Lepisosteus oculatus: one gene and its partners. The protein of the gene in region 3 interacts with the protein of the main gene of each other region in a pairwise test. Links are inferred from orthologs where the notes say so. Each region holds a gene or a part of one and is shown on either strand. Other genes may lie near its edges.

What was found.
Region 1: the proteins of dtx2 (region 3) and arnt2 interact in binary tests that used the Homo sapiens proteins (3 or more experiments, as listed by UniProt). The link is inferred for Lepisosteus oculatus from reciprocal best matches to the Homo sapiens genes DTX2 and ARNT2.
Region 2: the proteins of dtx2 (region 3) and sec22a interact in binary tests that used the Homo sapiens proteins (3 or more experiments, as listed by UniProt). The two-hybrid records come from large-scale screens. The link is inferred for Lepisosteus oculatus from reciprocal best matches to the Homo sapiens genes DTX2 and SEC22A.
Region 4: the proteins of dtx2 (region 3) and alkbh4 interact in binary tests that used the Homo sapiens proteins (3 or more experiments, as listed by UniProt). The two-hybrid records come from large-scale screens. The link is inferred for Lepisosteus oculatus from reciprocal best matches to the Homo sapiens genes DTX2 and ALKBH4.

Annotation. Positions count from the first base shown.
Region 1 is NC_090700.1:42,151,458-42,159,371, reverse strand, and holds the start of arnt2 (aryl hydrocarbon receptor nuclear translocator 2), read right to left. Parts: upstream 3,029-7,914; 5' UTR 2,767-3,028; coding exon 2,736-2,766; intron 1-2,735. UniProt on the Homo sapiens protein: Transcription factor that plays a role in the development of the hypothalamo-pituitary axis, postnatal brain growth, and visual and renal function. Specifically recognizes the xenobiotic response element (XRE).
Region 2 is NC_090707.1:4,672,580-4,679,934, reverse strand, and holds the start of sec22a (vesicle-trafficking protein SEC22a), read right to left. Parts: upstream 3,013-7,355; 5' UTR 2,896-3,012; intron 2,744-2,895; exon of another isoform or gene 2,676-2,743; intron 2,402-2,675; exon of another isoform or gene 2,183-2,401; intron 1-2,182. UniProt on the Homo sapiens protein: May be involved in vesicle transport between the ER and the Golgi complex.
Region 3 is NC_090721.1:2,532,932-2,540,017, forward strand, and holds the start of dtx2 (probable E3 ubiquitin-protein ligase DTX2), read left to right. Parts: upstream 1-3,970; 5' UTR 3,971-4,136; intron 4,137-4,595; exon of another isoform or gene 4,596-4,691; 5' UTR 4,692-4,770; coding exon 4,771-5,053; intron 5,054-7,086. UniProt on the Homo sapiens protein: Regulator of Notch signaling, a signaling pathway involved in cell-cell communications that regulates a broad spectrum of cell-fate determinations.
Region 4 is NC_090721.1:1,371,036-1,378,393, forward strand, and holds alkbh4 (alpha-ketoglutarate-dependent dioxygenase alkB homolog 4), read right to left. Parts: upstream 3,059-7,358; 5' UTR 2,967-3,058; coding exon 2,856-2,966; intron 1,928-2,855; coding exon 1,733-1,927; intron 1,067-1,732; coding exon 560-1,066; 3' UTR 353-559; downstream 1-352. Other genes in the region: polr2j (DNA-directed RNA polymerase II subunit RPB11-a), read right to left, coding at 4,376-4,411, 5,043-5,217, 5,521-5,610, 6,562-6,614. UniProt on the Homo sapiens protein: Dioxygenase that mediates demethylation of actin monomethylated at 'Lys-84' (K84me1), thereby acting as a regulator of actomyosin-processes.

The DNA of each region.
Region 1 (7,914 bases), on a different chromosome or scaffold from region 3:
GTTCTGTAGTGTTGTACTGTAGAGGACGTGGTCCAGCTGTTTCTATTATAATCACTACGAATTACATAAAATTACAAGAAAGGTTACAAATGAAAGGAGGCTTTTTGGCCCAACTAGTTTGTTTGGTGGTAGCTAAGCAATCCAAGGATGTCACCCAGCTGTTTCTTAAAAGGAGCCAAAATATTAGCTTGGATAACATGGCTGCTCCACACTTTCACACCTTTTTATGTAAATAGACACCTACTGTTCTCCTTTTTAAAGGCAATTTCTTATGTCCTCTGGTTGATGTCGCGCTGTTGATTTTAAGCCCACTAGACTGACATGTCAGTGCCTTTGAGGATTCTGAATACCTGGATTACATTCCCTTTACTCTTCTCTATTCAAAACTCATTCATTTTTTCCCCACCACAGTAGGACATTCCTTTCTGACTGGGAATGTGACTGTTCACTCTTCTCTTTTCCAGTTCCAGAACAGCAGTATCATTTTTTGTAATTTGGCTGTTAACATTGTATATAATATTCTGAATGAGATCTTATAAGTGCATATAAGTGCAATCCACTGACTAGCTTACATTCCGTTTGCCTTTTTATTGCTTTTCCACACTGTCTAGGAGATCTAAATGATGTGTCACAATTATAGAAATCTTGTTAAAACGCAGCGTTTCCCATATTATAACTAATTTATGTTTATATCAAGGATATGCTTTCCATTTCTCTAGTTTATGTATCTTTGTGCAACACTCTGGACTTGGGCGCATTAAAAGACACTTGCCAGATGTTTTTCTAGGCTCCTTGATTATTCCTCTTAAGAGGATTATTCCTCTTAAGGGAGTCTTGTAGAAGAGGACTTTCTACAAGACTCCCTTATCTTGGGATCATGTGTTGACTTGACTGAAGAATCCAGATGATGGATTTAAATTAGTGGGCCTTATACAGAATCCAGTGGAACCTCACTAACGACATCACCCCAGAAGTAAGCATCTGGACTCTTTCTATCCCTTTACCAACTTCTAATTCAAAGACATGCATTATCTTGAATGCCATCTTTTATAAAGACCTTGATCAATTTAGCTTTCCAAAAATCCAAATATATCATCTGCCTTTTAATTCAGCCATTACTGCTGCTGCTTCTTCTTCTTCTTCTTCTTCAGCATGTTAATATGTAAGAACTTGTTAGTTTAGCAAGACCTTCCTTTTCTAAATCTATTGATTACCCTCAGTGATTCTAATGCCATATAGAAGATTATTTTCTTTTCAAGTTTATTTTCACTTAGCATCATTCACATAATCTGACATGTAATAGGTACAGGGCTAAATTCATAGAGGCTATATTAGCAGTTTCCCAGTCACTGGATATTAGCACTACACTGTGTAACTTGCGTTAAATGATTAATAATAGAACATACAGTATTCTTAAGTGCAACTGGTAGAATATCAGACGCTGGAGTTATATTTCAGTGTTAACAGTATTTAAAATAGAACTTTATTTCGGCTCAGTTTGAGCATGTTGTAAATTACTTTTATAGTACCCAAGTGGAATATTAATTTTTCCAAGTGGAAATATATTCATTTATCATCTAAATGTTCTTATATTATTAAATGTAAAAATTATATTTTAAAAAAACTAAATATGAAATAAAATTGTTTTCCAACCTGTATCAAAGACAGTAAGATTAATTTATAAATGATGAAAACAGCCCATACACCGAGCATTTTTATCTTATTAAAATAAATAGCATGAAATCCTACATACATTCACATCTACAAACTCTGATCCTAACATTGTGTACTGTATTAACTGCTTTACCTTTCTCAGCTTTCAAGGGTGCATAAACAGAAAGTACCAATTCGATCTAAAAACATGTGCCTTTCAATTAAAGGCAAATGAAGTACAATTTACAGAAAACTTTACATGAACCTATGGAAACCGTAATTTGTACCATAAAAAATAACTAAGCTGCAACACTACAGTAGAAGCACGCTACGTGCATTTAAGAGACGATTTACGTGCAACAGAGTAGGACCATACTGTACTTAATGAACCATTTGTAGTTCTGTACATAATGACTAACATAAAAATGTTCGTACGTAAAACAAAATAAAAATCCAAATGTTTTAAAAAACGTTTCTGTCCTCATAAACAAAATTATTTTTGTTACCTTTAAATGATTTACACATTTCCTTGCAAGATAATCAACAGGCAGTAGAAGCAACAAGCAGTAAACGAAGTAACTTTGTTATAATAAACCTAACGCTACGCTGTGGAGTTGAAATTGGACATCCACGAAAACACATGTCAACTGTCTAACTATGGAAAAAGCTTCAAGATTTTAAGAGAGAAACCTATGAAGTCAAAGCGCGTAGGCTACTGCTTGCTAATGTATTCAGCAAGTCGTTTCCATTTCCAGAGACATCAGTCGGATTGTTGAGAAGATAGACACCTAAATGAATGTGGTAGAGTATTGTTGTATAGCTTACAGTTGTATGTTGTATGTAGCGATATGTTATAAACTGCATCTGTCTTTTCTCGGTTATTTCAGAAAACGGTACAGTGTCCTGTACGTTAGGCTCAGGGGGAAGGGGATGCTGTTTGAGTGACAGACATGAGCATAAACCCAACTGCTGGCTTCTTTTGTTTTAGAGAAAATAAACTTACACGATGCACAACCCCCTCGACAAGGGATTGAACTACTGGTAATAAAGAAAGAAATGATGGAATTAAACCACGTACTTACCAGTTGGATTCACAGCAGCGGGTGTTGCCATGTCGGCTCGTTGCAAAAAAAAAATAATCAAACGAAAAGAGGATAATGACGCACAAAGCAAGACGCGAGGAAAGACAATCAGAGCTACGGTGTTGCACTCGAGCACAATACCGCTCTTTACAACTTCATGAGCAATCGCTGCAAGGAAAACCGATCAAGGAGCATTTAATACGAGTAAATCAACCGAACTTAAACGTTTTCACCTCGTTTGTAACAAATAAGCTCCCTTTCAGATGCAAGATGTCTGAAAGGTAACACCGCGAGACTTCCCCTGAATTAATTAATATACAAAGTTTAGCATACAGGGGGAAGGCAACATCGTAAAAGTTAGAGGACGTGGGTGTTCATTGTTAATGAAGTTGCACATTGTGTTAAATATTAATTTCAACAACTTGTCTAATTTGATGCATCTCGGCTCTGAGTGATTTTACCACGCACCACATCAAAGAACCGCGATTTTCTTGTTGACGCGTTGGGGGGAAAACAGTTTGAGCTGGGAACCCAGGTCTCGGCGGTGCAGGACAGGACAATGTATTAATCTCACTCGCTGAGGGACAGTATTAAATCAAAACAGACTGTTTCTCCGGTACACTTAACATGGCAATTATCAAAGATAATTAACTTTTTTGTCCGGGTTAGAGCAAATGACGATCATCTAGTAAAGAATTACAGTACATGCCCTATCTTTTGTCAATTGAATTGTGATACATTGCGCAACCCTGCCTATTTTTATGTAGATTCTTAATTTTTTTGTTGTTTATAGTAATTAAGCCGAAGCAACGGTGTCACGGTAGATATAGATTTGTGTTTCAAAATGCAGATCAATCTAGTTACCGCGTCTTCTTTATCAGCAGTGATAAGAGACGAAAACTTTTTTTTCCACTTTAACCTTTGCGCATAAAAATTACTTTGAAATCTTTCTTGGGATTGAAAAAGAGGGCAGTATTAGTTGTCAAAACAGTCGAAGAAATAAAGTCAGAAAATTGTTTAAACGGCATGAGCAGTATGACGAAATTTGCAAAACTCATACACAACGCCTAATTTCAATTAAAACAAACTAGAGACTGTGTGGGGTTTCCAAGGACATAACTCAAGTATCAATGTCAGGTAGTAATTATGCTTGAAGTCCGTCGGGTACTCATGCTTAATCATGTTTTACATAACCAGAAGTATTTCTTTAGAAGATATTAATTTATGGCATAATCTCAAGTAGTCCTAAATTTAGATTTGATTCCATCTCTTTGTAGTTGCATACATGAAAAGCAATGTGGGAGTACTAAAATGCAATCCAAGATTATGAAATACCTCTAATTTGAATTATTTTCCCCCATATGTACTGTAAATGTATAGACAGATGTTTATTTAACCCACATACTCCAGATAACCAGGTGCATTTCCTGTGGTATGAATTGGAATATAGTCACATGTGAGCATCTTTAAAATTTAAAGTTGGAAGAAAATATTGTTTGTAAGTATTTTTTTTAGTTTGTGAAAGTGTAGCATTTCCAAAACTATGTGAAATTATGTTCAAAAGGCCAGCTATGCTGTTAAAACATATTTTGCTGTTGAACTTGAACTTGAACTTTATTGCCATATGTAACCGGTACTGGTACAATGGAATTCTTACTTACAGAAAGTCTCTCAATTGTAAAACAAGTGTAAAAAACAAGACAAAGTGCAAACAGTGCATCAAGACAATGTACAAACAATAGACAATGTGCAAGTAAACATGTAGACAGTTTGAATGTAAACAATACAGACGTGTAAACAATGACTGGAGATGTGCAATAGATAAGAAATCATAAAGAGGTAGATGGTGATGGTGTAGGTGTGGTCCGAGGGGGATGGCTAAATGTGTTCGCCAGTCTCACTGTTTGTGGATAGAAGCTATTGTTAAATAGATCAATTAAATCCAGTAACCCAAGGAGAATGCTCTCCTGATTGTAATGGTGATGTGCACAAATAAGGAACTCTTTTTCTAATATACTTTCTTATTATGTTGATATTAAATTTACACAGATCCTCAACATGATTCTTTTAGGATCAATCTATTGTTCCGTCAGCAAATGACGCAGAGAAACTTAAAGTACAAATGCAGGAGTGATAAAATTGTCTTGACTTGCAAATAACATAGTTAAAGCAAACATCCTTTGGTGCTAAAGTCCAGGCCAAAAGCCAAACAGGAGTGCACATCAGAGGTCATTCTCAGCTCCAGCAGAATTCTAGGCCGCTCTGGATTCTACTAACACAAAGGCTGCCAGACCTTTGCTGTCTAAAAGGAATCATGCAAAGTTTTGCAGAAATAGTGCTTTGCAAAACTCTCCTGTCCTTCCTCATTTGGAGGTTATCACTGTTGTCCCAGGTGAAATTACAGAGGTTATCGGCACCTTCACTACTATTGATATTGGTGTGTGTATTAAAACATCTTATTATTTTTGGGTTATTCACACCATTAGCTGAGACTAAATTGCATATTTTCAATACAGGTAAATCTAGCTGTAAAACAATATTTTCTTCCAACTTTAAATTTTAAAGATGCTCACATGTGACTATATTCCAATTCATACCACAGGAAATATGTCATAGAATGTTTTCTCTGGTTAGAACACGGTGCTTAAAATACAGTGTAATCAAAAAGCACCTACTGCATATCAAAATATTCCCAAATTATACAGTATTTGCCACTTATACCTTTTATAATGAGCACAGTGTATTACTGATGTACAGTGCCTTGCGAAAGTATTCGGCCCCCTTGAACTTTTCAACCTTTTGCCACATTTCAGGCTTCAAACATAAAGATATAAATTTTTTATTTTATGTGAAGAATCACCAACAAGTGGGACACAATTGTGAAGTGGAACGAAATCTATTGGATTTTTGAAACTTTTTTAACTAATAAAAAAATGAAAAGTGGGGCGTGCAAAATTATTCGGCCCCTTTACTTTCAGTGCAGCAAACTCACTCCAGAAGTTCAGCGAGGATCTCTGAATGATCCAATGTTGTCCTAAATGACTGATGGTGATAAATAGAATCCACCTGTGTGTAATCAAGTCTCTGTATAAATGCACCTGCTCTGTGATAGTCTCAAGGTTCTGTTGAAAGCGCAGAGAGCATCATGAAGACCAAGGAACACACCAGGCAGGTCCGTAATACTGTTGTGGAGAAGTTTAAAGCCGGATTTGGATACAAAAAGATTTCCCAAGCTTCAAACATCCCAAGGAGCACTGTGCAAGCGATCATCTTGATATGGAAGGAGTATCAGACCACTGCAAATCTACCAAGACCTGGCCGTCCCTCTAAACTTTCAGCTCAGACAAGGAGAAGACTGATCAGAGATGCAGCCAAGAGGCCCATGATCACTCTGGATGAACTGCAGAGAACTACAGCTGAGGTGGGAGAGTCTGTCCATAGGACAACAATCAGTCTTACACTGCACAAATCTGGCCTTTATGGAAGAGTGGCAAGAAGAAAGCCATTTCTCAAAGATATCCATAAAAAGTCTCGTCTAAAGTTTGCCACAAGCCACCTGGGAGACACCCCAAACATGTGGAAGAAGGTGCTCTGGTCAGATGAAACCAAAATCGAACTTTTTGGCCACAATGCAAAACGATATGTTTGGCGTAAAAGCAACACAGCTCATCACCCTCAACACACCATCCCCACTGTCAAACATGGTGGTGGCAGCATCATGGTTTGGGCCTGCTTTTCTTCAGCAGGGACAGGGAAGATGGTTAAAATTGAGGGGAAGATGGATGCAGCCAAATACAGGACCATTCTGGATGAAAACCTGTTGGAGTCTGCAAAAGACCTGAAACTGGGACGGAGATTTATCTTCCAACAAGACAATGATCCCAAACATACAGCAAAATCTACAAAGGAATGGTTCACAAATAAACGTATCCAGGTGTTTGAATGGCCAAGTCAAAGTCCAGACCTGAATCCAATCGAGAATCTGTGGAAAGAGCTGAAAACTGCTGTTCACAAACGCTCTCCATCCAACCTCACTGAGCTCGAGCTGTTTTGCAAGGAAGAATGGGCAAGAATTTCAGTCTCTCGATGTGCAAAACTGATAGAGACATACCCCAAGCGACTTGCAGCTGTAATCGCAGCAAAAGGTGGCTCTACAAAGTATTAACGCAAGGGGGCCGAATAATTTTGCACGCCCCACTTTTCATTTTTTTATTAGTTAAAAAAGTTTCAAAAATCCAATAGATTTCGTTCCACTTCACAATTGTGTCCCACTTGTTGGTGATTCTTCACATAAAATAAAAAATTTATATCTTTATGTTTGAAGCCTGAAATGTGGCAAAAGGTTGAAAAGTTCAAGGGGGGCGAATACTTTCGCAAGGCACTGTATTACTGTTGTGCTGTTGTATGTACATGAGGGTGGCTTGATGGTGTAGTGGTCAGTTCTTAGGTCCTAGATTTGATGGCAGACTGGAACATAAGGACATAAGAAAGGTCTGCAGACGGGAGGAAGTCATTGGCACATCTTAGTCACTTTGTAGCTTACTAGTTAAGCTAAGTTAATCTAAAATGTTATCCAGCCTTTTCTTAAAGGGGACATAGTTTGGACTCTAACCACTTGGCTTGGAAGCCTGTTTCAGACACCCACTTCACTTTGAGTAAACAAATGTTTCCTCTTTTCTATTCTAAATGAATTCCCTTTAAGTTTCCATCTGTGAATCAGTGTCTTTGACATGCTTATTATGTGGAAGACATAGGTGTCTTTGGAGATATAAGAATAGTCTGCTATCAAAAGGGGGTTATTCAGTCCATTTTGCTCGTGTACTTGTTTTGCAGCTGAGTGAATCCAAAATGTTGTCCAGCTCCTTCTTAAAGGTGCCCTGAGATTGGGCCTCAACCACCTGGTTGGGGAGTTTGTTCCAGACATCCACCACTCTTTGAGTAAAGAAGTATTTCCTGCTCTGTAACCTGAATGTTTTCTTCTAAGTTTAAGGATTTAGTGGCCACATCTTTTGAAATTTACCCCAACGTGTTTATTTCTTCATTGCTTCCCACGTTGTCTTGATGGGGACATACAGTAAAAGAATCTAAAGAAACATCCAAACTCATTTCCTGTGTAACTTCCTGCTGCTCAGAATCACCTGTGTGATGTGTACAGTGTAAGTTTCTGTTCCCAGTGTAG
Region 2 (7,355 bases), on a different chromosome or scaffold from region 3:
TAGCATTAGCAAACATTTTATTTCTTCATCCTGTTTTTTAGGTTCAAACATGATTTGCCTTTACGTAAGAAAAAGAGAAAACGACGGACTGAAGTAAAAGCACAGGCTATACACTTTATTCAATATCAAGAAGGCTGCAATAACCTTTGCTGCTGTTAACCTAACTGTAGGCTAAATGGATTTGAAGACACACTTCCAATATAATAAGAATAACTGTCTCCCGACTAGCCAAGAAAGTACATTTCAATGAAGCAGATTCAATCAAGCCTAGCAATACATGAACATTCACATTACAAGATTAAAGTACAACGCACAAGCACAAAATATCTTTCGGGAAGAAAAGTGATATACAAACGCCAGCGGTTATTTTTCATTCTAAGAGTCTGCACCGAACCTAGAATACCGTTTTGCAAAAAAAAAAAAAGAAACGAGAGCCTGTGACATTATTACAAGTCAGAGCTTGGAGAGGGGGTTGGAACAGCACCTTCCGAGCTGAACAACCCTGTAAAATGCAGGGCAGCTGGAGGAGCCCGAACCCATTAGACTAACCACCACCCTGTGGGATGACATTAAAAGAAACCCGACCTGCCGAGGGAAGAAAGAGTTTTACACATTCACGCTTGGATTTCTGCACCCTTGTGGTCTTCCCATTGACTCTTAAGTCCATTTTTGTTTCCCAGTCTATAACCCCCCAGAATGAAACTCGTCGCGGGGTGAAGGCAGACACGAAACAAACCGTTTTGATACCAGCAGGTATAAAACACCTGCTCTCCAGCCCTCTTCTCAGGAACTCCTCGCTCCTTCAGATACAGTCCAACAAATACACCATTATCTGCACACGTGTATGTCTGTTTTTATTCTTGTACGTGCAGGAATTTATTTTGATTTGTTTTACATAATGAAAGGTGGATTATAATTAATCCACATGCCATTCATAAAAAAATATATTTTGTTGCTAAAAAAGGGTCATTCATATTGTGGCGACCTTCTGGAAATAATCGAACCCCTGACAAACAGATAACAGCCATGAGACTTTTTCTCAAGGTTTGCCCTCCCACTAACAGTAATACAACCCCACACACGCAGGACGTTGGCTCCAACACATCTGTTAATTAAAAGCTATTGCCACTTGATTTCTGATTGCAGAATGGAAAGCACCTGACAACGAATTAAGAAGACATTTAAGACAATCCCACTCCAGTCAAAAGGCAACTGAATCCAAGCTTCCCCTTCAAAACAAATATCTCCAAGCACCGCGAGGATGAACAGAGGTTAACTCGTCCTCCCGGGAGCACTTGCCAAACACAAAACTGCAAGCATCGGGGAAAAAAGGGATCACAAAGTGCCTGGCGGGAATGAGAATAAAGCATTCCTTAAATGCCTGCCAATCACGCTGCAACCTAAGAATAAAAGAAAACCTGTGTGGCACAGACAGGATAAGACAGTACTGTAAGTAAATGCCTACCCACTTTTCTTGCATCTCATTTCCTATGTCCTATGGACATTACCGGCCTGCTTGTCAAGCTGTTCTCCACAATCAATACGCTTGGTTGAGAAACCAGGACTGACTGTAAAATGACTGTAAGACACAAATACTTTCAGGGTAGGACATCAAGGAATGATGACCCCGGCAATATAGCAGTCTGTTCAATGTATTGCTTATTTCCGCAATTATCCTGATGGAATACTGCACTTCATCAAGAAGATGTCTTCGCTGCGGATCGTTAGTCTGATCGGGGCCCTGGGAAAATCTGTAACCCTGGAGAGCTTCTGAAAGAGAGTCCCGGCGCCCTGCAGGTAACGTCCTAGCACGGCCACACCGAGAACACACCACCGTGAGCCGGCGGCCGTGGAGCCCGCGGAACCGCAACGCCAGGCACGGATGAAATAAAACCGCAAGGCTGAGTTTTGTGGGGAGCTCTTCAGCGGTGCGTCGTGAAAGGGCTCATCAAACAGCCGTGCCAACGTCTGCAGAACGAGTGTGCGCGACCACAGCTCTCGACAGGCAGGGCAGGCGCGGACATCGCCGGGCACTCCGCACGCCTTTACAGGCGAAATGAAAACGGGGAAATAAGGGTTTCATCTAATGCTCACGGAAGCTGTGGTTGGGGGTGTGAAAAAAAATGGCCTTAACACCTTAACATTTCATTTCTGAAAACTCAAGACTGCTTGTAACGCTTACCATAGGGACAGCATGAACTAACACAAAACCACTTCTCCGCGTTATTGATGTGAAGGCGATCATTAGGGGCGACGCCTGGATGGCTGAGTTGCAAGAAGATTAATTTACTGTAACAAATCCGTTTTTACACCCATCGTCCTCTTTTACCGACATTTATAATTTTGCATCATGGGCATAATTCGCCACAGCAACGCCTTACGATACGCAGGTTTACCTGACGAAGGCAGTCGACAGGCATACCGAGTCACAGGACAAACCTCAGATCCCCGCTGACAAACAGCTGGACTGGACGTAGCCTGCAGCTGTAACGGTATCGCCTTTCTAAAATAAAATCGACTCTCGGCAGCAAGACATAAGGGAACCGAATTCCATAAATTAAAAAAAAAACATGAATGCATTTCTGTAATAGCTTTAGTAACGAGCGTAACATTAACAGATCAAATGCACTCGTCTCCCTCAATCCCCGAACCCGCCTCCCTCTATACCCACTTACTGCAGTGCAGTCATTCCTGGGAACGGCCATCTGATGAAAAAGAGATAGACCTTAAATGTTATTTTTTTCAGTTCCCTGGCAGAAACACAGCGCTCGGAAAGAGATCTCTAAAATCAAGAGGCTTTTCTCGCCGCCGGGTTTATTAAACTCCGCGCAAAGAAGCAGGCCCACGAGCGACAAACCGTGCAAAAGCGTGAGTGAATTTCATCAGTATGCTGACCTGAAACGGACCATGCGTTAAACGGCTGCTGATGAAAAGCCTTTTCGCGAAATTCTTTTTTTTTTTCTCCCCGAGTCACATTTCATCCATGTTCGCCTTCCTCATTCAACGGCGGGGCGAATATGTTTACGTGGCCCCTTCGCGTTGCATTGTGGGTGCCCGGCCGCGGCTCACGCTGCGCCTCGCGCCTGTGTGCTTCACCTGCACAGGTTAGTAAAATCAGCGCTACTGATGTTTGCTCGTTTTTTTTTTTTTTTTTTTTAGATGAGTAAGTAGGCCTAAGTGATAAATATTAAATATTTGCATCAACTGAAATCAAGTAATAGAGCATAAAAAAACACTAACAAAGTCTACAAACCCGAGATGAATCGGTTTAACAAATAATTTAACTCAATGTCCTGGACATCGTTCCTTTGTACAGGAATGTGTAGCTAAGCTGCTATTATTACACGGGAGCTGAAGGGTTGGTTGCAGTTTACTAGTGATTTTTTTTCTCCCAAGAGTGTCTTAAAGGATTGCTGTGCAGCCTTGCAGTCACCTCTCAGAAAAAAATATCCCAGTGATCATTCCTGCAGGTTATTTGAGATTCACAGGGGACACAGAGGGGATCATGGGCAAGATACAGTCACTGACGTATTTGGCTAACAACTTTATTGAAAGCAGCTTTCATGGATGCCCATTTATACAGCTGGGTGTTTTACTGGAGCAGTCTGAGGTCGGAGGCCACAGCAGCAGGGTTCCAGCTGGGATTTGAACCCACGGCCCTACAGTTACAAGTCCAAAGGCCTAAAGACGGTTCCCCACGTGGACGGATTGAGAGAAAAAGGAAATGATGCTAACAGAGAGATATTCTTCTTGGGAGCAGCAGTGATAACTGCATATATCGGAGACGCAGAGCCCGTTATTCTGACATGAGGCAGGGTGAAGGCAGCCATAAATAAGAAAGGCTGCAAGAGACAGGAAGAAGGCAGAGCTACAGGATGAAGTGGAAAGAATAACCCTGAGCCTGTTCTAGGTCCTTTCTGAGTACTGACCCCAGTGCTAGTTTGATGTGCCCTAGGGTACAGTCTCCCAGCAGGACGTAGGTTTGTGACCTGCTTGTCTGTTACAAAAACACTGAGCTTTATTAACTACAGGCTGTCAGACTCCTCTTCAGACTTCCAGTCCATTCCACAACCCTGTTTGTTCAGTCCAATATTTTGATTAACTGGAATACAATTCACCATTCTACAAACAACTCTTTCACACCTTTAAGCAATGTATCTGGTCATGTTTTAAAATGTTTAAGCACACCAACCCAAACCCATAATTGAGATCTGAAGTCCAGGAGTTGAGTATGACACACTTGACCGACCATTGAGGATGTGGCTTCTGTCGCAGGGAGACTGCAAAGGTATTTTCATTATAAGCCAAGATACAGTACTTGTCATTTCACTCTCAAGAAGGGAATAACATGGTCTTCCTTCATAGGGCAGTGGGCACTGGAATATCACAATGAGCTACAGGGTCAGTGACTGACAGAAGATGGTGACTTTGTTAATAGGAGCAGCATGGAACAGTCATTACTGTTTTACCACCAGGTGTGACACAAAAGAAAGTCAAGGTAGGGTATTACCTTCTCTCTTTATAAAAATAAATTGTGAAGTCAGGGGAAACTACAATCTAACCATATGTAATAGTAGCTGAGCTGCATATTGATCAAAGGAAGTGCCTTAAACAGAACCTAGCAGAGTATGTGTTAATACTCTAGAGCTGCAGGCGGTTTTCAATAAAGTTTTAGACTGCTATAGAGTAGTAGTAACGAGTAACGTGAGAATGCAATGGGTAACCACTATTGAAAAGAAAGAATAAGAAAGTTGGCAATAAACTATTACATTATCTCATTAACCACTTGAATTTCTCACCCTCAGGCAAGCAGGCGACCTTAGTGCATAGAAAGCAGAAACTGGCTTCCAGAATGTGCAGTTCCAGATTCATTTTAATTAGTGCAAGTGATTTCTTACCATTCTGAAGTTTAGAGAAGGCCTCAAACAAGTTTAGAGCACATCATACAATTTTAAACTTTGTTTATGAAAACAAATTATGAATATGTTTTGCTACTAAAAGTAGACAATCCAGCTGAAAAATATTAATTATACCAAAGTACAGAACCCTTGTGAACCCAGAGGCAAAAGTTAAATTCTGCTCTCATTATTAGAGGCGTACTAAAAGACTGTATATATTTTTGGTTTCCCCTTCAGGAGCAACTTAATTATTAATGAGATGACTGATTTTTAATGATGAAATAATGCTTTGATAGGGGTCTTGTGAAACTCAGTTTCCAATTTACTAGTTATCTCTGGATGAACTGAATCCTGCAGCCTCTATTTCACTTGCTAAATCATTTTCACACAATGATTTGCATTTTTCAATATTCCTTTTCAATAGGATTCTGGTTGGAGTAAGTAGTATGATCGATGCAGATGAGCCTTTTTAAAAAGAAACTGCAATGTACACAACCAATGAAGCATAAGAAAATATTATGACTGTAAGGGACAAGATGCGTGAACATTTCTGAGAGAGTTACTGGAGGCATCCAACAGCACAGGCTGTAAGGGGTTTCTCTCATCTCCTGGTTCTCCTTTACTGAACTTGAATTAACCCGTCTAAAGGGTGTTATTTACTCTGGCAATTGGATATCAAATTCAGTTGGTCTGAACTTCATCAAGAGGAAACAAGACAAATGGGTCTTTTTCAAAGCCTTGTATTTGAAAGAGTCTCTTTGGGTGACTTTTAGTATAAAATATTGAAGATCTAGACTTACACTGAAGTTTTACAGAAGATCACTTTTATTCTATATTTGGTTAATCTTAGAATTTCCTGTCCCAGAATGGTACTAATGAGTTCCTGGAGATCTCCTTCCTCAGATAATGAGGTGCTTTGCATGCTGGTGGTGATAACAGTTAATGTTTCTCTGTGGTGTTCTGACAAAATAACTATGAATCAAGGAAATGTTCTTGATGAAATTCTGTCAAGTTAAGCCGATGCTATATTATCATTCATTGTGTCCTTATCTTGTTACTAACTATATTCAGTCACTAACTGGATTGAATCTTTACTGTATTCATATTCATTATTTCTGCATACGCATTTACCTCTTGTTTATTCCCATGACGACTATTATAATTTTAGTAGTTCAAGATGAACTGCGATTTGATCGTAAATGTTAAAAAAAGTCTTCCTGAAGTGTTTCTGATGCACCATAAAATCTGTCAGGAAAGGTCGTGTTTTTTTTTAAAGAAATTGCTGTCATCTCCCAGGACACGCTCCATAAAACAGTCTGGAATTATGAGGGTAACCTTGAGGCTCTTGAACCAAAAATATTTCTGAACCACGCAAATGCACCATACTCTGGGAATTAACCAGGCGTGCCATTCAAGTCATCATAAATCCTTACTTGGAAAGGTGGCAAGCAAACTGCAGTCATATAGTAGATAAAATGTATTTTCCCTGCTGCCTAAACTTTTCAAAATAAGCTGATGCAGTTTGGTAAAGGTCAATATCTATGCCTGACATTACTTAGAGACAAGAAGTACAAAAGGCATTTTAATGCAACAGATCACTCTTCTGTCTCTACGGAAGGAGCTGAAATCTTATGAACCCCTGAATATTTCATTTCTTGGAAAAACTGTTGGGCCGGGTCAAAGAACCATTTAAGTCTGATATTGTGCAGAACTATATTTTCCAGGTTGTACCAGAAATAATGACTTTAAATGACAGCCTGAAAGTGTCGTGCTCTATAGAAATAAAACTTTATATGAATCTTTCTGCAATGGATATCCAGTAATTTAGTAATGATCTTGAGAAACATAAGAGAAAATGTTTTAATTTTTGTTTGATAACCTCTATAAAGGCCAGAATTTTTTTTATTTGACTTGTTACATTGGCAAATTGTTTTTGTGAGGTGGTTTCTGTTTTTCAATTATACTGTTTATTCTTATTTAAAAAAAATAAAAACTGTTTCACAAAACATTTATTTTTTCATTTTATTTGATTGAATTCCCTTACTCAGATTGCAAGAAAACTGAGCATAGTAGATTCACTAAACATGCATATTGCACAAGCTTTAGTATTCTGCTCTAAACACTGTTATACCACAGTGATAACCATCTCCTTTTTAGCAACACTCTGAGCACTAACAGAAACAACCAAAGCAATCGCCCAATTTTTCTTAACAGAAACGTAGACAATTTGATCAAGCAGAGTGACTGTGAGGGTAAACAAAACCCATTTATTTGTTGATGTGCAGATTGGTAAGTTAAATTAATCATTTTTATCGGTATAGGTGTCACAGTTCATTTGAGAGTTTTACGCAGCACATTGGAATTTAAAGTACAAGCGCAACTGACCCCAGAATCACGCTGCAGGTTAGAGTGATCAATTAATGTTAAAATCTCTCTCTCTTGTCTTTGCTCAGTAAT
Region 3 (7,086 bases):
CTTCCTAAAGAGTGATATTCACTGTAGATCTCAAATCTGAAGCCGGAGGAAAGCAACGGTTTAGGTTCGAATTTTGATTTCTCCATCATCCTTAATAAATCATGAAGCAAGTGAACCAGTGATGGATTATATTAGATTAACCAGATTCCTGTAGTTAAAACACATACATATTTTTACTAAAGTCATATCTTTATTACTGAGCCCAAATTGTATCCATTTCTAGATTGAAGATTTTTTAAATATTTACGCAGTTTTATGGGCAGGAAATGTACAGTATTTAAAATGTGGCGGCACTTTTGTCAGTAGAGGAAAGCAATCTACTAAAATGAAAATCATTAAATCCATATTGATTTTATCCAGCCCCTTAACCAACATTCAGCACTATTTCTATGTGCATATAAATGGAAATACGTCTGCTTACAAAAAAAGCTATAGTCAAATGTCTAAATCCCATTATAAATTTCTCTGGAGTTTGTTTGATGATCATCAGTTTATTCATTTAATTTGTAATACCTGATCTGCCATTTGAGAACTTCAGAATATTTTCTTCCATGAATTATGAAGGGAGGCTAATTATTTCTTTGTAAAAGGTTCAGCTTGTGCTGAGAAAGTAAATCTGTAGACTAGACATATTTTTGAGGTGATTCTTGGGATTTCTTAGATGAAATCAAAATGAGCTCAGCACCGCTTGAGGTGTATCGATAACTGGCTACACCATATGAAGATTCCCAGCATAAAATGTATGAATGTAGTGTAGATAATTAGCAAAATGTTCAATCCAACAGACATTTATGAGGTCTTGATGATTCTATTTCGGTGTGTGTTAGCCAATAAACTTGAAAGTTTACTTTGTTATAATCGCCAAGATCTGTTTTCTTCCTTTATTAACAGAACAATATATCACATATTTGAAGTTATGCTTGTAACGCGTCCAACTTTTCCTTTGTTTAATGAAGCAGACTATTCCTGCCATAATCAAAAAATATTCCCTGTGAAAACAGGAGCCCCTCCCCCCACAAAAAGAAAGTGAAAGAGTACAGTTCTAGTTAGTCAGATGTTTATTCTTATTTTGAAAGGGGGATTCTGAAAAAATCCACTTGATCACAGGGAGAACATGCAAACTCTACTTAGTTTAAAAATTCAACTTCTAAATATTAACCAAGCCATGCTTGACTGAACTGGCGAAGATGTGAGGACTAGATCTTATTTACAGTATCTGCAACATGATTACAGCTTCTATAATATACTGTGGATTACTGTCTTCCAGACAGAGAGAGTGAGAGGCTGTCAAAGGCTAAGAAAGCCCAGTAACTCTGAGAGCAAGTCCGCTTGAAATTTGTTAAGGAGAGCTTTAAGAGGAGAGATGCAAAACTCGGGGATTGCATTCCAGATGCTGTTTACAGACAAATAAGTCCCTAGTGACCCAGTCTGAATCACCGTAAAAGTGATGTTTTTTATTTTTCTCCTTTGGCCCATTCCCATAGCCTGTTATTAATAACCACAAGTACTTTCTTTCTCTTACGATGGTCTTTTAATAGAAATGTAGCTAATGAATTGTTTCCATCGCAGCCAGGAAAATTACATTGTTTTGTTGAGTGCTCTGCAGTCCATCCATTACACATTAAATCGTACTCCCAAACCCTTTATGCAATTTCACAGTTAAATATCTTCTTCACCTCAGGAGAAACAGCTGCAGAACCCCATAGAGTACATGAAATACTAACACAGCAGGGCAGACTTGAAACTGCATCAGGTGATATAAGCAAGCAAACCACAGGGAATTGTAGTGCTGTATCACAGAGCAGTTGCCATATGTACAGTAGATACAACCCATGTCAGAGCATCCCTAGGGTTTTCAGTCAAATGTCAGATAAAAAAACACCCTGAGGTGTAAGGAATTTAATTCAACATTTAAAGCTCAGCTACATCAGTCTTTATGTAAAAACCTCTTTCGTAGCTGAGACTGGAGGCTGTAAATAAAAATAAAGCACTAATACAGGTAAAGAAACTATTTTTACCACCTAGTTAAAAGTCCTTGATAATAATATCACTGTCTGCCATACACATGAATAATTTATGCATTCTCCCACCTTTCATGTTTTTCCTTTTTTTCCTGTTTTTTAAAATTTGTGGATCGCTCAGAGACAGACACTCCAGTTTCTCAAGCTAATGTAACAAAAGTGTGAGGTTTTCTAAAGTTACTGATATAACTGAAGTAGTCATTTGGGTTGATACCATTGAGAACTGTACAATTGTGGATTAAAATCAGTTTATCTTCTGTTTTCAGAGCTAACAAGATATCCCACTAACCTCTGTGCCATTGCTCACTTTTCCCAGCAGGCATTATTCCTGCATTTTCGTATCTTTCAAGTTCCCATCCCAGTGTTTTATTTCCTGTACACCTCAGTGCTTGCTTTTCCTGATTTTTGCATGAACATTTTGTCCTTTATGCAATACTCCTTGGAGAGCAGCCATGCATGTGTCCTGAGATTCCCAATACAATAGGGTTTAGTTATTTGCTCTGTCTGTTAGATTTTGAAAATGCAACATTTGACCTGAAATCTCTGAGGCAGGAATCTGCAGAAATAGGTTAGACCATCCATGAAAGAATGCGTTTGTCCAGGTTTTCCATATATAGATATAGATATTAGTAGTTCAGGTGGGTAGCTGCGTCAGCATGCGTAGGCTGCAAAGGAACAAGTAATAGGTTTATTCCATGCTGAAAAAAAGAAGAAAGAGAACACAACGTTTCAGCCGTGGAGCCTGCTCGCCTGAAGTTCATACCTGAAGAAGGCTCCACGGCCGAAACGCTGTGTTCTCTTTCTTCTTTTTTTCAGCATGGAATAAACCTGTTACTTGTTCCTAGATATAGATATGCCTAGAATAAGCCTTTCAGAAAGAGATGATTGTGAAGACACACTGAAATGTGGGAATTAGTGCGCAGTTACAGTATATTCCTTACCTTAGCCCTGTATCTGATACGTGTGGGTTCACAGAACTGTGCTGCAGTCTGTGGAAGCAAATGAAGTGGACAGAGTGTGGCTTGCACAGTGAGTGCTATTCAATCGTCCATCCAGGGCAGGGAAACAAGTTCAGGAACTGCAGACAGACGTGGACAGAGCGAGCCCATGTCTGGGACTGACGCCTGCTTGAATGGAGCCTTATTCACAGATGTCATTTAATCTGCGCCAGAAACCCAGACACACCGAACACTCAATGAGAATGAATGTGGAAAGGCTTGTTTCAAGACCGCAGGATGATTTTTTATGCACTGTTTTATGACATAAGCTGATACAGTGTTTGAAATCATGGAGGTACTGACAAAACATCTGTAAATACTACAATCTTCTTAAACTGATTAGATTAGATTAACAAATAGATGCAACAAGGTTTTTTACATCTAAACTCACTGGATTGAGCATATACTCTCCTTGTTTACCCTGTAGCTGTCAATCTGTTTGCTGATGTATCCAAACATGGCCTTAACAAGTTGCAGCATGTTAAGATCTCACCTGCCTGGGTCTTAACTAAAATTAAAATGCATTTTTTCAATGGAAAATTGAATTCAATTCTGTTTAATTTGCATGTTGTTCTGTTTAGTCTACACTAATTAATTGATATGTTAATTAGTGTACACTTGTCTCTGTAGTTGTAATTTTATCTTGTTATATTGTAAATTCGTTTCCATGATGTTACAAAACACACTTGATTGAATGAAAACTCTTATTCTAACACTATTTTTCTTTTGGTAGCAGATGTTAATGTCTCTCATAGTGGGGACAAGAAAAGACAAAAGGGTTCTGAAATAACTACAGCAAATAAAGATATGTAATTTATCATTGGAAACACCAGAGCCTAATTTATCATGATTCCTCATACCGCTGTCCTGGGGGTAACACAGCAGTGACGTACTTTTCCTGCGCCGTTGCGACTACAGTCGACTACAGTTCTACGACTACAGTTCCCAGAAACCTCTGTCTGCAGCTCGGACGGGTGTTTCCGATATGAGATCCGTGAGAAAACTGGAAACGAGTTTAGTACAGCTGTCGGAAGAGCTCGCAAAACGACGCGTGTGTTTATTCCTTGAAATCAGCCTTGTGTTGGAAGCTGTAGTTTTGCATTTCGTTTTATTAATGGTATATTTGTGTTGTTTTTTTTAGTTAAGGGGGAGACTTCCTATGATACTGCCTGTGTAAATTGTTTACATAGCTACAGCGCTACAGAGACAGGAGCTCAGAATGGATAGCATTGAAGTTGGGTATTGGGTGTTTAAATTGTTGTAGCAAGTTTAAATCTAGGTATACGTGCTGTAATAGTTTCTATTATTTTCCGGCTGTGGCGTGCTTGAGTCACTCGAGTGATGACAGCCGTTCAGGACGTGTAGGGTAACTTGCTGTTTCCATTTAAATTGAGTTTCGGTTCGGTTCGCTTGTGGACAGCACAGGCGACAGGGCAGAGGTGTCGTGAATAGCGCACTGGCTATTTTATCGCATGCATTCGACTGAAAGGGCAATACACGATTAACCCGGTGAACAGTTCTAAATGACGTTTTATCCTAAACGATTAACCAGGCTGTTTTTTTTTTAATCTGCCAGTGAGCTACGCGAAGGATGAGCAGTTTCGGACGCGTTGACGGTGTCGCAAGTTGGGTCTGGTCTCGGTGATCTGCGACTCCTGTTTCATGATTGCAGCGCGTAGTCCAGCTCAGCGAGTCTTGCACGGCCGAGGAGGAGAAGTTGCCGTCTGTACCGCAGCCCGGCTCGGGTGGAGATGGCGGCGGCTTCCGCTCCGGGCGGTAGCGGGTCGGGACCCCCAGCCGACCGGGGCTCGGCGGCGCAGCTGCAGCCGACGGTGGCTGTCTGGGAGTGGGCGGACGACCTGGGGTACTGGCGCCCGTACAGTGGCCAAGTGAGCGGGTACATTGAGCGGTGCCTCCTGACCCAGCGGGGCGGGGGGCCGGCGAACACCAGCATCTCCCTGGGACAGGCTGACCCTGCCCTGGCGCCCTACATCATCGACATCCCCAGTCTGAAACAGTTTCGCCAAGACACGGGTAAGTGGCTGTGGTTCTTCATTTAGAAGCGTTGGTTAGTGCCCCTGCGCCTCTGGGTTGCGCCGGAATGTGACCAACCTTTCTCTTGGCAATTCGTGTAATTTGGAATTGACTGAGTCTCCTGGGATTCCCCGTCCTTTTTCTTCTCAACGTTACTGAGTAATCGTCAGTGACGTAATGACTCTGTCAATGTCTTTTAGCTCTGTAGACGTTCAGTGTGTTTTTTTTTTAAATTTCCAGTGTTTAATCTTACAAATCTAGCACTTCATCAGCAATGGTGCCCGTCTGTAGGTACAGCAGCGTCAGTGTATACAAGGAAGCAGGATCCTTTACTAAGTTTTCAGCTCAGTTGAGAAAATAGTGCAGTTAGTTCGGCAGGCTATACAATATAGGCCTACTGAGTGGTGTTTGTCAGTTTTAACTTTTGCCCATCAAAGAGCCAACTGCAAGCTGAAAGACGGATGGAAATTAAAAAATAATAAACCAGTCGTATTTCTCAGCTATAAAATCTATTTCAGCTGAGATTCCTGTGACATCGGTAACTTTCAGGATGGCAAGAGATCACCAGACTGCAGTCTCATCAGTGGGGAAGAGCTCAAGAGTGCATATTTCACACACATCACTGGAGGGACCCCAGCTGTTCAAACAGATCAGTTACTATGGTGTCCAAATCTGATGGCCCAATTTCTTTGTTTTTCTAAATGGTGAAGATTGCTTAAGGTGCTGACTTGTTCTCATCTTGTGCATGTACTGTATGTTTCTTGTTAATGCTTTCATGTTGTGTTAAGTGTATTGTGTGTTGTTATATTATGTCTTCTACCTACCCCCAGAGCATATTTCCTATCTGGGACAACAAAGGAAGTATGTAAGCAAATGTGTTAATTAGTTAAGATTCCTTAGCAAAAGAAAAAAAAGTCCCAGAATGTTTAGTTCACCACTGAATGGGTGGAGGTATGATGGAAACTGCAGTAAATGCACAGAGGACCTGAAACAAAGAGGCCTGCGTGTGCTGGCGAGGAGGCAGTGTGCAGCACTGGAGTGCGTCTTTGTTCTGAGGGCTTGTTACTGGCACACGAGTGGCTTGGAGCAGGGTGCTTGCTGCCACCTGCTTGGTGCAGACGGGAAGCTACAGAAAAACCGCAGGAAATCCAAACTACATTAACTTCAGCATCTGAACATAGCAGGAAGCCCAAAACAGTCTATTGGTGGGGATCAGCAGCCTTTCGCACACTAGAAAGAGACGATTCTGCAAGCACAGGCAGCTTGTATTGATGGAAGTGTAGATTTTGCAGCCTAGGAAAAGACTCCCTCTGACCCCAACATTTATGCCATCAAGTTTACTTTTTGCTGCAGCATTGGTCTTGGTAATTTCTGCTTTCCTTAGGTTGAAACAGGATTACAACCAATGTCCTTTGATTTTTCTAATCAGTGCCATGATTGCAGAGGATTAGTGTTGTGGCTTGTTTTAGTCCTATTGAACACAGCACTTGTCCAAAAAGACCATCAGCTTATACCAATGGTCAGTCCTGCTTGATCTGACCATGTGGCTCTTTCTGAGTAGAAGCAGAAATTTGTGAGGCAGTTGACCTCTGATTAGATAATAAGAGTTTCAAAGATTGTGTGGGTGGAAAAAACCTAGTAGCAGGTAACTTTTGACTGGGACCGATAGGTGATGCACAATAGTGACAGTGCTCAGAGCAGATAATTGCATGGGTCTTAATGTAACACAACAGATAAGTTCCCTAAGCCTTTTAGATATAGAAAACCATTTCTGATATGCCTAAAAAAAGTGAAAAATGTCTTCAAAAACAGAAGATAGCATTTTTATCATCTTTTGAAAGGTCATTTTTTGGTTGGTTTCTTGTTCCTGAAATTTGAAATCATTAATATGAGGAAAGAAAAACAAACAAACTGCATGCTTCATTTTTTAAATTCTCATTAGATTATTAAACATTTAATATCCATCCACTTTTTTTTCTTTTGCCTTATCCAATACAGCGTCTAGGGGTGTACAGTAGCAGAGCCTAACCTGG
Region 4 (7,358 bases), about 1.2 Mb from region 3:
TACAACCTTACACATGAACTATACACCTTTCTCAACGAACATAATGGAGAACAAAGCCTCAGGCCACCTCCAAAAGCAGGAACATGAACATCACAGCACAAAAAACTGGGATCTATCTGTCTGTTGTGCAGTAATCACTCCAGGTCTGACCTCCTCATGCAGCAGTGAAGTGGTCATAGCCACACTTGAAATTTCTGTGTTTCACCATTCAGCATCCTGTTCCTCTACAACGTTTAGTTTTACCAAACAAAATACCACATTCCTCAGAAGGCGAAGACTCCCTCAAACCACCGCGTGCACGTAGGCTCCATATCCACCACGGGACGTTCAGACAGAACACTGATTCATCTCAGACCTCAAATCAACAGTTTAATAAATACAGTCAAGCACGTACAAACAGCTGAACACAATTTCTTTCAGAATCAAGCTGAGACAACAGAAGAGAGGGATCTCAGCTAAGCACATGGAATATCTTCTCGGGGAGATCCGAACACCTGGGCCACACACCCCTGGGCTCCAGGCCAGAAGGTTTCCGCCCCAGCTGGACTCCCAGGGCCTGCTACACTGGGATCCCCTGAAAGCTGAGGGCTACGTCCAGCAGCTGAGAGCCGAGGTTCTCCTGCTCCCCCCCGGACAGGAACTCCGCAGACAGCTCCCGGAAGGTCACGCAGACCCGGCGGTCCCGAATGTCCTGCCTGCGGACCGCGTGCTCCCACTGGTGCCGCGCCTCCCCGTACAGCGCCAGCAGGGCCCGGCGGGGCAGGGGCACCAGCACCCACACGCCCCCCGCCCCCGCCCGCTCCCGGCTCATGGTGAGCACCGTGGGGGACAGCAGGTTGAGGGTGACCAGGCGCTCGCCCCACAGCCAGGCGTCGTCCAGGTGGGGGTCGATGGCGGAGCCGCGCTGGGGGCTGTAGTCCAGGTTGCACTGCTCCACGGGCTGGAAGCCCCCCAGCAGCGGCGCCCGGCCCATCCTGCGCACCAGCTCCCGGCTGCACGGGGGCAGGCCGCTGAAGCCCCCCAGTCTCACCCGCCGCTTCTTGAAGTTCACCTTGGGCCCGAAGTCCTGGGGGGGAGGAGCACAGTCACTGGGGCACCACAGAACGATGGTCTGACGGTGCGGAAAGACACGTCTCTTATAAAACCCCACACGACGCAGAGACTGGGGAAAGATGCTTGCGGAAATATCAACGATTTTCTGAGATTTAAACTGGACCCTAGAAATCTGCTTCTGGACGAACAGCAGAGGCAGAAAAGTGCCCCTTGGGTAACGTCTGAATCGCAGGCCTGAACCAAATCACCAGAAACCAGTCGAAGCTGGACAGACCTAGCGTTCAGATGTTGAAGATCTCTAGGAACGAAATCTATCTCATGGAAAGAAATACCCACAGAATTAGCCATCAATTTGTAAAAAGATCATCAAAACTGGAAAGCTATGTTGAGACTCTCAGTCATGTGATAGGAACAAAGATGCAACAGACTATACAAATGATGTAAAAAGTAATTCAACACTGTCTGCTTCTTTTTTATGTATGTGGGAAAAAATAATATCATTAGCCCCCGCATAATGACAATAAAGGATGTAAAAAAGCAGATGCAGGGTTTTTCCATGAATCAGCTGTGCATGTCGTTTCCTGGAGAGTGCTGTTCATTTAGAGAAGCACTCGTCGCTGGGGGAAAGAGCACACGGAGAAAAGACACGAGTCACCGAGCGCCTCTCCTGCTACCGGACCTGTTTCCTGCGGCCGGACTGCGAGTCCCTCCAGGCGTCCCGGTCCATCGCGCTCACCAGCTCCTGCTCCTCCGCCTCCGACACGAAGTTCTCCCACAGCAGGACCCCGGGGAACGGGAAGGACTCCTGGACTCCTGGAGCCTCCGCTCTCACCGCCAGCCCCGAGGACGGCTCGTACACGAAGACCCGGCGCGGCTGTGTGGCCAGAGAAACCGCCATGATGTTCACACCTTGCACGGCTCGCTCACGACCTGCCGCAGGGCCTTACCGCCACGCAGCGACACGTGACACGTGCGCATACAAACCCAGACAAACACAAATCCCCCTTTAATGCTGTGCTATACATCTTAACACCTTCACGAGTAAAACAAGAATGTTTAGGAATATTTAAGAGTCTTCTAAAGGAGGAGAGGGGTAATCTGAGAACAGCACCAACAGAGTGCTGGAGACCGTCGGGGAATCCAATCTCTTCAGGCATTTTTTATCAGGGGAAAACAACAGCAAAAAAAGAATTCAGAAAGTGCTTTACAACTCTGCAGTCAGGAACTGTCCAGCTACTATAGTATAAAGATCTATTTTATGGCCCCATCTGCTGGGGATTGTGTCCAAATCCAGTTCCCCAGGATTCTATCCAAAAATTGCTTTAATAAATACAAGTATCCCAACAATAATGATGCTGAATAGAAAACAAAGAATCACATGGAAAAAAGCTGCATCTCAAAGCATTATACAGCACATCAGTTTGCTGTTTCCATTTATTAATGAAAAATTGTGCAAATATAACTTTTCAGATCTTCTCTTAACTGTAGGGTGAACTGCATTTACCAGATGGTGGTCTATATTTTCAGATGATTGATAATGGAGTGTATTATTTAGTCATGAATGTATCGAGTACATTAAAAAGGGGGTAAAGTCTTTTTTTACCATTCGGACTGAAAGCATTCTTAAATGGATTAGTTGTATACAATCCCACAGCTCATTTTTTAAGGTATCCTTGTAGCGGCGAATGTAATGATCAAAACAAAGTAGAGATTCTGAAACTTGATTTTACAGTTTAAATAATGCCAAAGAGCGAAATCTGGTGTATGAAACTTCTCAGTACACGTACAGTGTGACATCGTACCTGCTGTACATTAATCCGGTTGTCCAGTTTCCCATTGCGATTTTCACAGATCAGACAGGAGCGGATTCCTTTACAGGCACAGTTGGCTTGTAACACTTCTTCGTCCGCCATAAAGGTCGACAATCCCACGGTGTAAACACGACCATCAACAGGGAGCGATCATCACACAGCACCACCACAAAAGCCCTCCAGTGTTACATCCAAATGTGCCCCCCGGAACTTCTTTCCGCCAAACATGGTTCCACATTGTAACGGATTCGGGTTCTCCGGGCATGTGCCCTCGAACCTGGGTCTCCGGCGTCATGCAACAGTATCTATACCTAACAGTACAATATCTAATGCGTAAAAAACAGCAGCAGTGATTGTTTAAGAAACAAAATTGAGATATTCTGCAATAAGTGATTGTTACTTCAGTGTCCAGGAAGCTCCCATTCGTTTTTCATTATCCAACAGATAAAGTCTTTGCTTAAGCAAATAAAATCCTAAAAATGAGCATTTACTGTTTTTTAACCCACAGCATGTGAAGAACATCAAACAAATCGATACCCTTAGAAATCCAGGCAGGAGAGTTTTAAAATAAATTTCTCATCGGCTTAATGACTTTTGACGAAAATGAATTGAAACTGGGAGTTCTACAATTTACACACTCAACATCCAGTTAAAACAAAACACAACAGTATACTTTTCAATTTTTTAATCAAATATTTTACAAAACGTAACATTCTAGTTATTTACAAGTAAATCAGGGTTTACCGACTACAAAGCAACATACTCTGGATGTACGCACATTATTAAAAACAATTACAAAAAGGGTGGGAAACACACATGTTCCTTGCTGACTAGTAAATTCAATTAATTGAGACCAGCTAGATGACAGAATGATTCAGACCTCTTAAGACAGACCTTCTCATGAAACAATAATATATTTGCACCTTGTAAATTAGTCTTGTACTTAAATACAAGATAGTTTTCAAAAACACACTGGCTGCCTTATGTTTCACAATTAAGATGCTGAAAAACCTGACTTTATTTGAACAGGTTGCTTTTGTTGGGGCTAAAGCATTTATATAATGCGCAAACAGTATTGAAAATTCAGACAGGGACGTCATAATTTACAAGCCTACCCTGTACATCTCAAATAATGACTAAATCAAACTTTATAGAATAAACCTACATAAAACGAAATCAAAACCTACTAGAACATTACCTGCCATAATCATTACAGCTCCTACAATAATTGCTTGAATGCTCTGACAGAACAGCTTTGGAAATGAAAAGGAAGACAGTCAGTGAACTAATACACTGATACTATGTGACACAGTAGGACATACAGCAAGGCACACCACTGGGCTCGGGGAGAGCTGCCACACGGGTGTGCCCTGCCATGGGAGCAGTTGGACAGGCCCTGCTCACGAAACACTCGGGTTTAATATAAATGCATGATGAACAGGGCTCTGATGGGGGGAAAGCTCTTTCAGCATCCAAAGTCGAGGGAGAAGCACTTGAGCAGGAGACACCGTTCATTCAATCCCTTCTTGTTTGTCCTTGATGGCCACCTGCAAGACAGATGTGTCAGTAGTCCCCCCAACAACCCTCATCTCCCAAGAGCGAAACTCACACCAGCCAGGAAGGGCTTCCTGCCGCAGACTCAGAGCACGTCTCCAACAGACCAGGAGGAAATCACAAGCATTTCTGTCTGGGTTTTAGTGATAGTACAGCCCTATCACCTATGAGATGTTGAATTCTCCTAATGAATACAGGCCCGTTTCCAATCCCTGCTCAGTTAGGTGAATTTCTAACCAGTACTCCTGCTGGAATTCAGCATGTTTTCAATCTGGCTGCACCCCGGAAGATCACGGTGTTTGAAGTCACTCTTAAATCACTAGAACAGTAATAATAAACAGCAAATACTTTCATCTCTTCTTAACTGGCACACAGCTTACAGCAGTGTCATGAAGGTTCAATGAATAAGATTAGACTATTTCATTTTCCATAGAAAAAAATAGCTAAAGGGTTTTATTTTGTTCCTGCTATACCACCAAGCGAGTTGCATGTTCCTCTGTAAAATAATTCTGTACAGCATGTAAATCATTTCTTATTGTGTACCATCGCCTTGCCTCGGGCATCTACTGTCCACCCTCTGGCCCCAGTAATCTCCCTACGGACAGGCAGGTGGTCGAGACTCACCCTGAACCTCTCCTCCAACAGGGACAGCTCGCTGATGAGGTCAGTGATGGCGTTGGTAAAGGCCTCCTGAGGGCTGTAGTCCGGGGTGGTCTGCACACGGATCACAATCTTGTGCTCCAGGGGGTGGGGCACCTTATATCCCGCAAACAGCACCTGAGGATCTTTCAGCAGCTGCCTGCGGACATGTGAAGGTGGGTCACAGACACAGCGGTAAGGGGATTGAGCACAAGGAGCTTGTAAATCATCTCTGCTGGGCTCCAGGCCCGGAAGGGGTCATGGGAACTAAGCACTGATGCATCTGATATGTGAAAATAATAGGTGATGTAATCATCCTGTCCTAATGAAAACGATGCAAACATTTTTGGCCCTCCATAGAGATTTACACTTGGTTATAAATGAGATTCAGTTATAAATTGGTGCAGTGTAAACTACCTTGCCTAAAAGAAAATTCTCTCAAGTCTATGAATTGCTGACTTACGATCGGATGATATTGCCAAGGGTATGGTCCTCTTTGTTCAGAGTGAACAGACAGGCATTGGGGACCTTCGTGTCCTTGGTTATTGTAATTCTAAAGAAACAACAGAAGCAAAGACAAACTGTAGGTACAGTCACCAGACAGAGGGAGCCTGAGCTACCCCAGCCTTAAACAAAGTAAGCATCACAGGCATTTTCTTTTACATTTCAATTACAGTGTGGCAATGGGGCTGAGCTCTAAAACTGGTGAAAAAACAGGCAGAATTCAGGACTTTAAATATAACGCAAGAAAAGGGTGCTCAGAAAGAAACATAGAACGTAATCACATAATACACAGCTTTTATATCCCACACCCTTTATATTACGGTTGTAATTATGACATTTAAATCTTTTAGACAAGAGAAGAAAAGAAACACAACGTTTCGCCCGAGGAGCCTTCTACGGGTGTCACCTCGGGTGATTATGAGTATTTAGATTAATACAATTCAACTCCGATAATGTATTTAGGTAGAAATCTGAACATTCACAAACTACGAAGGACACAAACCCGAACCCTTCCGCTCTCTGCGCACAATATATACAAGGTATTTCTGACGTAAAACAACATACACTGATAAGACTTATTAAAAACCGTTCATACCACTAAAAAGGGGGGGCAAAGGGTTCTCAAAATAGGGTTTTGTTGAGATTTTTTGGAGGGAATAATGATAAACGGTTTGGCAGAAAACGGAAAACATCGATAGCAAATTCCAGACGGAAGCAATCGATCTCTTTTCCCCCTCAAACGCTTCCGTCGAAAAGAAAAGAAAGCAAAACAGTCTTTCACAGGTATTTAAAACGCAGCCACGACCAGTACATTTTACGTTTTATAATTTAAAATCTACTTCTACTCATACTGGGCCAAAAGCCTGGAGATAATATGTTTTCAACCCAGGAACAGCTTCCTGCCGATGAGCGAGGCGCTATCGCAGCATCTCTTCGGAATAATTTAGCACACCTCATCACAAAATTAAAAACAGACGATTAATAAACGTGTACTACTCACTTTTTCTCTCCCTCGAACAACAGAAAGGACTCGAATGCCGGCGGCGCATTCATCTTGAAGTAAGTTGTCCCTGAGAAGGAGCCGGAGAAACGCGCCGCGGCGGAATTAGGACAGAGCAATGGCGGCCGCGGCAGGCCTGGGGTCCGGCCACCAGGGGGCAGCACACACCTGTCTGCTGACGAGCTCCCTAAACTACTACGACTACTAAACACAGCGTTGTATGATCATAAATAAACAATAATAAATAAGAATGCGAAATGAAAACCTTTCTTTTGAGAGAAATGCATATAATTAGAAGAGTTACGAAAAAGAGATGCCTTTTTTTGCGTTGTGATGAAAAAATGACTGTACTGCTACACTGGGCGGTTGAGTAACTATGAAGTTTGGCAAACCGTCCTTCTTAAGTGACTGTAGGCTTGCATGTAACTCTAATGATCCTTATTAACAGTATCATAGTAAACACAGTGAAAAATGTGTTATAATACTTTCAGTAAAAGATTAACAGCACCATCTCAATCAGAATCTATTTTATTGTCCACAAGAAATAAGTGGACATTGTCCTTTGGCTTGACAGAGGCAATAATAAGAAACAGTGTGTGTATATATACACAGACTAATAATATTAGAATACTGCCTTGTATATCTTAGGGCCATGTAGTGTTTGAGTCTCTGTACTCACAACCGATGGATTGTGGGTTCAAGGCCCAACAGACCCTGCTGTGTCCCTTCAATGATCACAGCCTCACTCAATTAGCTCCAGTCCACCCAGCTGGCTGGAGTCATGGGCTCTGTTTGTT